Linked DNA regions of Drosophila melanogaster. The protein of the gene in region 1 purifies or fractionates together with the protein of each later gene. This does not show direct contact. Each region holds a gene or a part of one and is shown in the gene's direction. Other genes may lie near its edges.

Region 1 (3,757 bases):
TATACCCGTCACGCTTCCACCCATACAAATTTTAGGCGTACAAAAAATGACCAGAGAACTGCAGCCCGCATACAAAAAATGACCTGCGGCCGATCGTTGACTGTGCGTCCACTCACCCATACGGCTCTTGCGCAGCAGGCCTCGGGTGGTTTTTTTACTCGTAACAAAAACACAACGTCGGTAAAACACTCGAGTATTTTGTGTTGCCGCAAGTAGGGTGTCAAAAAAAACGGGGTGCCTAGAGTACCGAGTGTTTATCGGGTGGACGTAGAGTGCGAGTGGCGGGCTGCAGTTCTCTGGTTTCAACGCTTAAATGACCCTGAATATTCGGCGATGTGAATGTAAACATTTAAACAGCTGATTGCGAAGAGAAAGGTTCTGCAAAAGCAAAAGAAATATAGAAAGAAATAGAGATGGAAAGAGAGCAATAACCAGCTGAGGGTACAGTTGTAACTGCCTATGAGTGATGGTCTAAAAATTTTAATTCGTGAATTTACTATTTATATATATTAATAAATATTGAATTTCCCAAATGTAAAGGCAATGTGCATGTTTCTGCTAACCAATCTTTACTGCTCTTCGTACGTTTCTACAATTAAATAACACAAACGTAACGTAAGGCGGTTACGTTACGTGGCCACGATGTATTTGGGAGTCTGGTACATTTCGTAGGCGAATTCCTCGCGGTGACTGGGATCGTACTCCAAACCCACATAGTCTATTTCCAGGCCAAACGGGCCATCCATTCCCTTCTTTGCGGCAACGGAGAATCCGAAGTGGGTTACCCTGTTCAGCGGTATGGCGCCCTGGCGATCCTGGACACGTCCCTTGGAAGACAGGAAGAACTTGGAGAAGGGAATCTTCGCTATCTGCCAGTGGGGACCTCCGCGCGTGTACAGAACATAGTGGTAGATGTCGTTCCACATCAGGTCGAAGTAGCCTTCGGTATGCAGGTTGATCAGGTAGCTGCGTCCATCGCCTCGCACCTTCATGACCAGCATGTTGTACTGCGTCCAGTCATAGGTGGTCTCGCGCTTAAAGGATTTCTGAGGATAATGAGGCTTAGTATCGTTACATCCAATTTGAAATCAACAATAAACTCACCCGCACTCTCTTCGTGCGAATGTTCGCATATCCCGTCCTTTTGATAATGCCATCCTTGGTGTGATCCGAGTTGACTTGGCCATGGAAGAGTCCAGCACCGGCTGCACTTAGTTCCAGAGTCGCAGTACTCTTGCCCTCGCCGTGATCCGCATCGGTGGTCACCGTCCACTTGTCCAGCACATCCGGCGCCTTGAAATCGAACACCACATCCGTTTCACCCGGCCGGAAGACCAGGATGGGATCACTTTCGAACTGCTCCTTGACTTCCTGGCGCCACAGCTTCATCTCCTCCTTGAGGTCCCTCAAGCCGTCCATGATCATCTGCTTCTTCGAGGGTTCCGGCAGCTTGGTCTTGTAGCCGGACTTTTTCTCGCGCTCCCAGAATGTCCTGTGCACGGCGGTGGTGTGGATTTGCTGCTGGACAGCCGGAAGGCAGCAGCCCAGGCGGAGTCCTTGTCGCAGGAGACTATTCATCGTGGCATTGGTTTAGGTTGAAGTAAATCTTATTTCTCTAGCAGCCTGTGCAGCAAAACAACGTAACAATAATCAGCTGGCCCAGTTGCCATTCTCAGCGAAACAGCAGTGCACAGTAGATATTCGATAGAAGATAAGCACAGTTGAAATGTAATAATGAAAGTCAAACTTACATACTTTGCCCACTTGATGTTACAATAATTATTACTTCCCATGTGGCTCACTTTTGTATTCTTCCTTACACTTAGAATTCATTTTCTTTCCTCTTAACTAAGCTCCCCTGTGCCTTATTCGCAGTGAATGACAATCCCGGTTTTGTTGTCATTGCTAATCATTTTGCATTCGGCTTGGAGTTCAAAGGTTTGATCATCGAATCGCGTCGGTTTGGGAAAATGAAGGTGCAGGACATGGACAAATGTGCTCCCAGCAGCGACTGGAACGTTCTTTACTGGGTGCTGGGCACGGTCCTGATGCCGGTGGCACTTCCACTGGCCATCATCAACATTTGGCAGCGATTCCAGGCCCAGAAATTCCGCAATCAATTGCCCGGCAAGGTGACGAGTTTAACTTAATGACTGATTAGCCCGGTAATTATGTAAACCATTTGCAGGTGGTGCTCATCACGGGGGCCAGTTCGGGCCTGGGCGAATCTCTGGCCCACGTCTTCTACCGCGCTGGATGCAGGGTTATTTTGGCGGCACGTCGCACTCAGGAATTGGAGCGGGTTAAGAAGGACCTCCTCGCATTGGATGTGGTAAGTTCGGGACCCGTAGGTTATGTGGTTCGCATTATAATGCACTAACCATTTCAGGATCCCGCTTATCCGCCGACAGTGCTTCCCCTGGATCTGGCTGAACTGAACTCCATTCCAGAATTTGTCACCCGGGTGCTGGCCGTGTACAACCAAGTGGACATACTCATCAACAACGGAGGGATCAGTGTGCGAGCCGATGTGGCATCCACGGCAGTGGATGTGGATCTCAAGGTGATGGTGGTTAACTACTTTGGCAGCGTTGCCCTGACCAAAGGTAACTAATAAACCCTTTATCCCGGAAAGTCAACTTACTCTTGTACGCATTCTTAGCTCTACTTCCTTCGATGGTGAAACGTGGTAGTGGTCACATATGCTTCATTAGCTCTGTTCAGGGAAAGTTTGCCATTCCCCAAAGGGCTGCCTATTCCGCCTCGAAACATGCCATGCAGGCTTTTGCCGATTCCCTGCGAGCCGAGGTGGCAAATAAGAACATAAACGTGTCCTGCGTGAGTCCTGGCTACATACGCACCCAGCTGTCCTTGAATGCATTGACAGGATCGGGAAGCAGTTACGGCAGTAAGTGATTTACCCTTTATATTCATATGAAAGCTAATTTCTATCTCCATGTCTGCAGAAGTGGATGAAACCACGGCCAAGGGCATGTCACCGGATAAACTTGCAGAACGCATTCTGCAGTGCATTCTTCGCAAAGAACCGGACATTATTGTCAGCGATGTCCAGGCCAAGATCGCCTACTATCTTCGTCATCTTTGCCCGAGTCTCTACTTTTGGATCATGGCCAAGCGCGCCGTCAAACTGGAGAATGCTGAGAAAAAGTCCACTTGAGCTTAGAGTATGTTAAGTCACACGTCCTTAAGTATTAGTTTCATTTTTATTGTTAATTGAATTTCGCTTAAAATGAGGAAATTATAAAGTATCGCATATGTGTGTGTTTGGGTTAAAAATTAGTTACACTCGTGTTATTGCCTAACGATAAGATTAATAAATAATGTATTGTAGTAATCGTAACATAAAGTACAACTGAATTGTCACACATGTGCTTGTTGTTCGCTCGTCTTTAAAAATGTTAATCGTAAAATTCTAGTATTCACTTCTTTGCTCTTCGGTTTTTGTTTTGTTCGATACACTTAATTTCGTTTGTGTTTCATTCGATTTCTTAAAGACATTTACGCGTTCTTTTCTTAATTGACAAAATTACATATTATTCATTTAGGTTCTTGGATGGGTGATGCGGTCTTGGGCAACATTTAAAACTGGCCATTAACTAGGGGTAGACGATGGTTTCGTGGGGAGTCGGGAGACGTACATACGTGTTTATAATTCATTTAGCTAAATTATAAAAATAGCATTAATCCATCTCGTGAAAAGTATAAAAATTAATTACAATTGAGGTACACAATACAC
Region 2 (3,757 bases), about 24 Mb from region 1:
TTGCCAAAAAAAAAAAATATATATATATATAATGGCAACATTCGAGGTGGAGGTCCCGGCCCCAAAAGTCATGAAATCTGCCGCGTATGTGTTTTCATTTTTGGCGAAAACAAAGAAAGACTCGGCGATGAAATGCAATTAATATGCAAGTGCCACTCATTGTGATGGTACTATTCTGGTCTATTACCTTATGGACCGAATCGCAATTATGGCGCAACTTCAACTTTGGACTCGAAAGTGTCAGCCACCGAGCTCAGCATAAATATTCGAGCGGAAATTATCAACAACTGACATTAAAATCGGAGCGGGAAAGACGCGACTTTCGGCCGGAGACGATCGCATGCGATGAAAACGCGTCCAAGTCGGAGGAATACCGCCGTAGAACTGATGACACACCCGGGCCGAATGCTCGACTTTTGTAGCGTAGCGAGCATAAAGAGAGTGCGTTGAAATGGGAAATTCATTATTTTATTTTTAAACGTCGTCGCCCTCTCTATTTTCGCAGATTGGCTTTTCCTCGCTTGTTTCTTGTTTCGTGGCAGATTGATTTATGGATTTCGGTGCAACAGGTGCTGGCCAGTTGACAGAGCGCCGAAAGTCCGCCGGACACACCCACTGCTTCCAATCTGGAAAACTGATTGGGACACAAAGCTGCATCCAATTTGCATAATCCCATCAAAGAGCACTTGCACCCAATTATGATAATTTCGGCTTGACGCACTAGGCATTATTGGCTTCGAAAAATTGGAACTGCAGTTCAAATTCAAAAACAAGGTACGGAGAAACTAAAACAAGAGGGAACGCTACAGGCGAGTTCCCCGACTATTAGATACTCCTTTCTCTGCTAGTGAAAGTTCAAACATGAATTTCAACATTTTCTGACATAGCAATAAAACTAAATTAATCTCTCTTATATATGTAGTTCCTGAGATCTCGACGTGCATACGGACGGACATGGCCAGTTCGATTCGGCTAGTGTTCCTTACCAATATATGCTTTATTGGCTCGAAAAACACTTCCTTTCACCTGATACATATTCGTTGAAAAAGGAATCTAGAATACTTCTTTTTTAATCTACGAGTAATATTTTTCATCGCGACCCGTTCATTAATCATTAATCATTACTAAATCTTACTAGTTCTGCCATTTGGTCTATAAGACATATTGGAATTGGAATGCAATTCAATTCATTTTAGTCTAGCGTTTGTACTTTTAGTAGAAATAATTCTCATATGGATGGAAGATTTCAATCGGAGTATTAAAACCAGCCCTCATTTTCTAAAATCGTGCAAAAAAGATATGAAAATTAAAGTATTAAGTGCCATTAATGCCATTAAGAATAGGTTTGGTTTTATTTTTCACCAGCCCACTTTTCAGATTAGCAATGCTAAACTCTCAGCATTACCTTTAAAAAATCGTTCTCATTTGCGACTAGTTCGAATATCTATCTACATTCTGCCGAAACTAACTAGAGAAAAACTGAAGTTCTACGTATGTAAGTATAACACATTTATTCTACACAGCATTAGCGAGGTTACACACCTAGCGAAGTCATCCTCCCAATTAAAATTTCCCTAAGCGGAGCTAGTCACCACGACCACATTGCCACTTTATTAAAACTAATAACTGTTTAATAACTGTAATAGAATAAGTTAAAATAATTAAATAATATGACTAATCACGTGTTGCTAATACAGTTAAAAGGCTAATTATTTAATTTAATTAATGTTTTGTAAACAGTTTCCATGCAGATGTATTAATAGTTTCCATGGCAGACTTTCTGAAAATGAACATTCTAAAACTTAGCGGAATTTCCCCTCTCTTTCTAACGGTTATTTGCTATGCTTTCAAGCGAAAGTAATCGATGGTAGCGAGGAGCGTATCGATGTGCGCCAGTTTTTTGGTGGCAGCGATGGTATCGCACACACATCGATTCTAGTGCCAGCCCTATTTTTTGTGCAATTATTTATTAAAAATAAGCAACGACGTGAGCGAACGACACGACCCACGAACGAAGGCAACGAAATGGCAACGCGCGGCGGACCAATGGTCGCGGGCACCGATGGCAACGACTTCGAGTTCAGGCAGCGCGTAGCTGGCACATATCAAATTAGGTTAATAACACTTCGTGCTATCGCCAGCTCTCAGCTACACTCGAAATTATCTAATTACTGGGGCGCCTGTGGCAGTAGATCCACCTGCAGGCGGCACCTACTGCAGCCGAATCGCAGGTGGCGTCCAGCCAGGGCGGCGGAGCACCCTGGAGCTGCTGCACCCACCCACTTGCTGCTGTAGGGGGCGGGTGGGCAAAGTGCCAGCTGGGCAGCATGTGCGCCCCAATATGGGGCTCACCCACACAGATCCGCCACTGAACGACCACTTTCTCTGCTCTTTTAGCCTGCTGAACAAGTCCAGGTTGAAGTACTGCATCTTCTTTCACGCCCTGCTGTTCTTCGTGATGCTGGCCAAGCTGACGTCGGACATTCTGGACCACCTGGATATCTTTGTGCTGGAGATCGAGGAGCTGGAGGTCCCACCGCCCCTGTGGTGGGAGTACGTGTGGGCCGCGTCGTTGCTCACCTCCTTCCTGGGCCTTTCGGCCGCCAGGGGCAACAAGGTGCGCGAAATGCAGAAGTATATGGTGGCCATACTGCTATTCGCCATCCTGCCACTCTTCTACTGCTTCGCCTACTACTTCTCGGACGTGTGGGAGTTCGCCACGCTGGACAAGTCGGTGGAGCTGGACGAGACAGACATCTTTGTGTGGCGCGTAAGTGGCTGGGCCAGTTAATCCCTCAAGAGCCGCCCTACTAAACCTCGGTTTTTCTACAGGGTTATCCGTACGGCGTCTTCTGGTATGCCTTCTGCTTTGTGGGCTTCCAGGTGCACGGATTTACGCTGTACTTCGCCTACAACCTGGTCAAGGCCTGGAAGGCCAGAACTGCCACGCGCAAGTTCCAGTAATCTAAATACTCGCCAAACTAGTAAACGCCGGAATGCAGGGCTAGTTGTAAATAATTTGGAAACTTGAAACTAACTCAAAACACTAGTGCACAAAAGCGTAATGAAACTATGGTAAACTAAAGTTATGCAGCTGTTAAGGTATCGCACACTTAGTCATACAGGAAGGGAAACATATGGTCGAAACTGAGCGAAGCGTCGGCGGTAAGGTTATTGTTAGTTGAAAGTTAGTTGATACCGTTTTCAAATTGATTAAATAGACTCTTATCCATATACACATGTACACCTATACACATAGACATACATATATACACACATACGCAGCCTTGTGAGGTCAACTAAAGACAAGAAGCAACTGAAGCCACCAAATTTCCCCGAGTCGGAATAAAAACTGAAAACCAACCTAGAGATCACTTCATTTTTGCTCACTTACATTTCGACGTGCCTCGTGTTTGTTAGAAACGTTTTATATATATATTTACACATGAAAATATGCGTACATCAGTTTATGTTTGCGTCCACGGATGGTTACTTCCTCGCCTAGTTGATAATTAGTTCACTTTTCTACAAATTTCGAAACCGTTTCATTTTTGCCAGTACGTTAATTTTGAATTTTATTCATCGAACCGCACAGTGCCATGCTTTAAGGCGTCTGGCCGGGTGCTGAACGTTTGAGAACTGCCCCAAACTATTTACAACCTTCTGTCACTGTTTACACACTACTATAAATAAGGATTGAAATGCAATTTGAGTGTTAAAGCAAAGTTCTTCAATTTCTGATCGTCAATAATACTGT
Region 3 (3,757 bases), on another chromosome or scaffold:
TCAATTAGAGGAGGAGGAGAAAGGGATTCGCTTTGCAGCGTGGCTAGGATACCCTTCCGAGCGGCCAAATTGAATTTAAAGCCAACTGATTTTCAACACTAAATTCGAGTGGACTCTTAAGTTTAAGCATTTGGATTATTGTCAAGCATTTGTTAGCAATCAAAAATTGATACCGGCACTTATATGTACCCTATATATACATATATCTACTTAGGCTGCTGCTGTACATCGAAGGCTGCGGACTCTCAACCATCAACCATCAACATCAACATCAGCGCAATTAGCAATCACTTGATGCATCCACAATCTAGCCGTAATGTGCCTTACGAACCAGCTCTATATACACCTTTACACATGATATTCTCCATCGCCGGGTCTTCGAGGTGATTTCTTCGCATTTACTTTACGCAACCAAGCAGCAGCACTCACTCAAAAAAAAAAACCAGCAGAAACCAAAAACACAAGCAATCGGCCTGAAACAAGCAAATTTATTGCATACCATGTGTATATACATAAATATGAATATATATATATATATATATACATATTTCTTATTGTTATTAATTTAACAACTACAATAAAGCAACAAGGCTAAAAAAAAAAAGATATATTTGGAAATGAAGTTTATTTATTAAGAGCCTCGGGCACTACTTGTGCCTCTATGATATCGTTTTTCCTCGTTTTAAAACAAAACTAATTGCTTATTCTGTAAAATGCAAACAACCGCAGTCTTGAATGTCACGCTAATTACTTGGTTTTGAATAATTCATTGAAATGTTAGCAATCAATTAAAAGGAAATTAGATAAAAACAGATATATATATGTGATATTTTAAATAACAAATAATACAGGATTGTAGTTAGTCGAATAGAACCCAAATTCAATTAATTCCTTAATAATTTTTTTCCAAACTCATTTTGGTAGTGTAAATCATGATTTATGCTTGCCAGCCCCGTTCAAATTCAAATATCATGCACTAAATCTTCTGGTTAACCCATTAATGTCTTCATTTATGCTTTATGGTTGGGAACACGCAATCGACTCCAGTGGCCAGATTTCCCTGGAGATTCGAGGCTACCAATTGATGTGCGTCCGGAGCTGTGACCTTTGGTGATAATAGATCACCAGCGCCTGTTCCTCGCGTCTTGATTTAGACAAATGGGGAACGAGGAACTGCCTCCATGCAGCCACCAACCCACCCACCTACAAATGGGCAACCTCCAACCAAGCTATGAAATAATGGAAGACAAGCGAGGAACTGCCGAATGCTCTCGATGAAGTGGTTTATAAATGATCTCCATCTGCGAAGTTGTTCGTGGATCGTTTCAATAATTTAAACAAAAAGAACTAAACTGCCAACAAAACGATCCATTCCGCGTGCGTGTTAGTGTGTGCCGGGAAATTCGGAAAAGCGGGAAAATCGTTCGGCCACGAAAATGTGTGAAATGAGCCGAACGATTGCCGCTGCCAGCGTTTTCACCTCTGTCTAGGATACAGTTTATGATACCCAATAAAGTGTAGGACCCAGAGGGTATAATGCATTTATGAAACATTCGTTAACCAATTTGGTAATATATCAAAGATTTGAGAAGTTTTAGCAGCAATTAATTAAAAATATAAAAACGTTAGGGAATTATTCATATTAAATATTCAAATAATTTATTGATCAATGCAACATAATAATTAGTTAATAATTAAACTTTTATTTTAAATAATAATTGGTGCTTCGTTTTGAGTATGCCATTGTGAATTGAATGTTCTTGTTAAAAGAAAAATTAAGATTATAGATTATTTTTGTTATACGATTTTGGTATATATTCAGAATATATGAAAGGAAACTTCAAAGAGATTGATTCCAATTCGAATTTCCACTTTGCATGAAATATGAAAATGCAAAATTAGAGTGCACTTTTACATGGTATCTAGCAGTCGGGACACCGATTGGTATGTGGAATAGTTTTATACTTCCTGTCTTCGCCTCTGCGTTTGGCTTTGTGTTCGTTCTTGGCGTGCTCATTTCAAAACGTGCGCTGGACGCGTGCAGTTCTCCAGTTCGACCAGTTAACGTCTGATACCCGTGGAGTGGAAATCGCATCCCTCCCATCCAATACGATCCGAGAACGTGTCCTGCTGCAATGCATCCTGCCTCGCCGCATCAGCACCGCGCCCGCCTGCATGTCGGATCGCCAGGATCGGGTGGCATACAGGCCTCCTCCTCCACGGAGACCTTCCCACTCACTCCGCAGCACCAGTCCTCGCAGCACGCCGTTCACATCCCGCCGCCCCCCTCCCTGCCCTACCAGGGACTCAAGACCTGTAAGCATGGCGAAAAAAAGGGTTAAGAATCTAATGATATGATATGATATGATATGGGATATTCCATTTAACATTGATCGCGGATTAACTTTTTAAAAAATCATTCATTCATATCAGGTCTAAAAATATGATCAGTGGTATGTTCAATTGTGTTGCGCCTTGTTAAAAACGAACTAAAAGTGATATACCCAAATAAACAATGGTATAATTAATGTTCATCGAAACCGAAAAACAAACAGCGAGGTATTCGGAAAATATACAATACTTGAGCACTTTTATTCGAAAGTTTTTATGACCTTAATCAAGATATGCAAAAGAAATAATATTTACGTAACGAGTTACTCTAAATAAACGGACTAAGTTTAATTGTTTCAATAGCAGTATTATAAACATCTAATTCAACTTTAGACATTCTAGTAATTTTACTACAAGGTATATACATATATATTAATCGTCCGACAAGTTTTAATGATATATATGAACTATATACATCTGCTGGAAAGGCTGAATGAAACAATTGTGAGAATCTTACTATTGATTACTTTTAATTCATTCATTCAATTAACATTCTATTGCCAAAACATTTGCGTCTTTTTGTCTTGTTTAGCTAAACAATAAAGTACTTGTAGCCTGATTAAAAAGTGAATGAAATAATGATCGCAGATGGCCCAGTCGTGTGTGTGTGGCAAGACTTCCTTGATATCTGGACCGGATTTCCAGATGCATATAACCAAATAATTCGCTCGGCGATTTGTTTAGCTCATAAAACTACACGCACATTGACTGCCAGATACAAATAGTTTTTCACATTTTCCCACCGCACCCACACACATGACCTCACCCCACAGAACTCTAGTGCTCCAGAATAATTCATAATGCATAATTCATAAATCGGCCAAATGTGCGATTAATGCGATACGAAACCATAATCAAGGCGCGAGGTGAGTCAGTGAATCACCAGAGTGAATCAAGTGAATCGTATCCATGCATCGATCGATCGTCGCGACCACCTATGAAGTATGCAATATAAACTGTGCGCCGACATATGAAAATAAATAGAGATGATCGGTGCGGACCGGATCGGATCAGATCGGATATATGTATATGGTACGGATCGAAACTCGAGAGATAAACAGAGCGCCGGAATGGGCAACAGCCAGGCACGGGCGCAAACATGGCCAGTTGTGGAGATGTGGAAATCAGTGATCATATTCAATGTCTGGTCCATAGCCATAAACAAAAAAATGCCCAGCCATGTTGTACATAGTTAGTCGAGCATAAAAAGCAAAGGCAGCCCCGTTGCTGGGTATTTATGGAACTCCTGGGCATTTGTACTAGATCAAAAGCAATTTGTACAAGTTAATTGCCCCAAAAACAAAAACAAAAAAAAATACAGTACCAATCGTGGAATATGCTGGCGCAATTGAAACAATCAGGTCGA

What was found.
Region 2: the proteins of CG7601 (region 1) and jagn purify together in Drosophila melanogaster (affinity purification with mass spectrometry, with the first as the bait; one large-scale study listed by BioGRID). This does not show direct contact.
Region 3: the proteins of CG7601 (region 1) and CG33253 purify together in Drosophila melanogaster (affinity purification with mass spectrometry, with the first as the bait; one large-scale study listed by BioGRID). This does not show direct contact.

Annotation. Positions count from the first base shown.
Region 1 is NT_033777.3:29,734,865-29,738,621, reverse strand, and holds CG7601 (uncharacterized protein), read left to right. Parts: upstream 1-1,876; 5' UTR 1,877-1,970; coding exon 1,971-2,132; intron 2,133-2,188; coding exon 2,189-2,332; intron 2,333-2,389; coding exon 2,390-2,606; intron 2,607-2,662; coding exon 2,663-2,908; intron 2,909-2,966; coding exon 2,967-3,178; 3' UTR 3,179-3,353; downstream 3,354-3,757. Other genes in the region: CIA30 (complex I intermediate-associated protein, 30 kDa), read right to left, coding at 630-1,046, 1,105-1,578. UniProt on the Drosophila melanogaster protein: Putative oxidoreductase.
Region 2 is NT_033777.3:5,777,403-5,781,159, forward strand, and holds the start of jagn (jagunal), read left to right. Parts: upstream 1-1,912; 5' UTR 1,913-2,025; coding exon 2,026-2,114; intron 2,115-2,397; coding exon 2,398-2,770; intron 2,771-2,832; coding exon 2,833-2,964; 3' UTR 2,965-3,757. UniProt on the Drosophila melanogaster protein: Required for endoplasmic reticulum organization and proper vesicular traffic during vitellogenesis. Required for oocyte and bristle growth.
Region 3 is NC_004354.4:19,181,410-19,185,166, forward strand, and holds the start of CG33253 (uncharacterized protein), read left to right. Parts: upstream 1-2,011; 5' UTR 2,012-2,135; coding exon 2,136-2,316; intron 2,317-3,056; exon of another isoform or gene 3,057-3,757.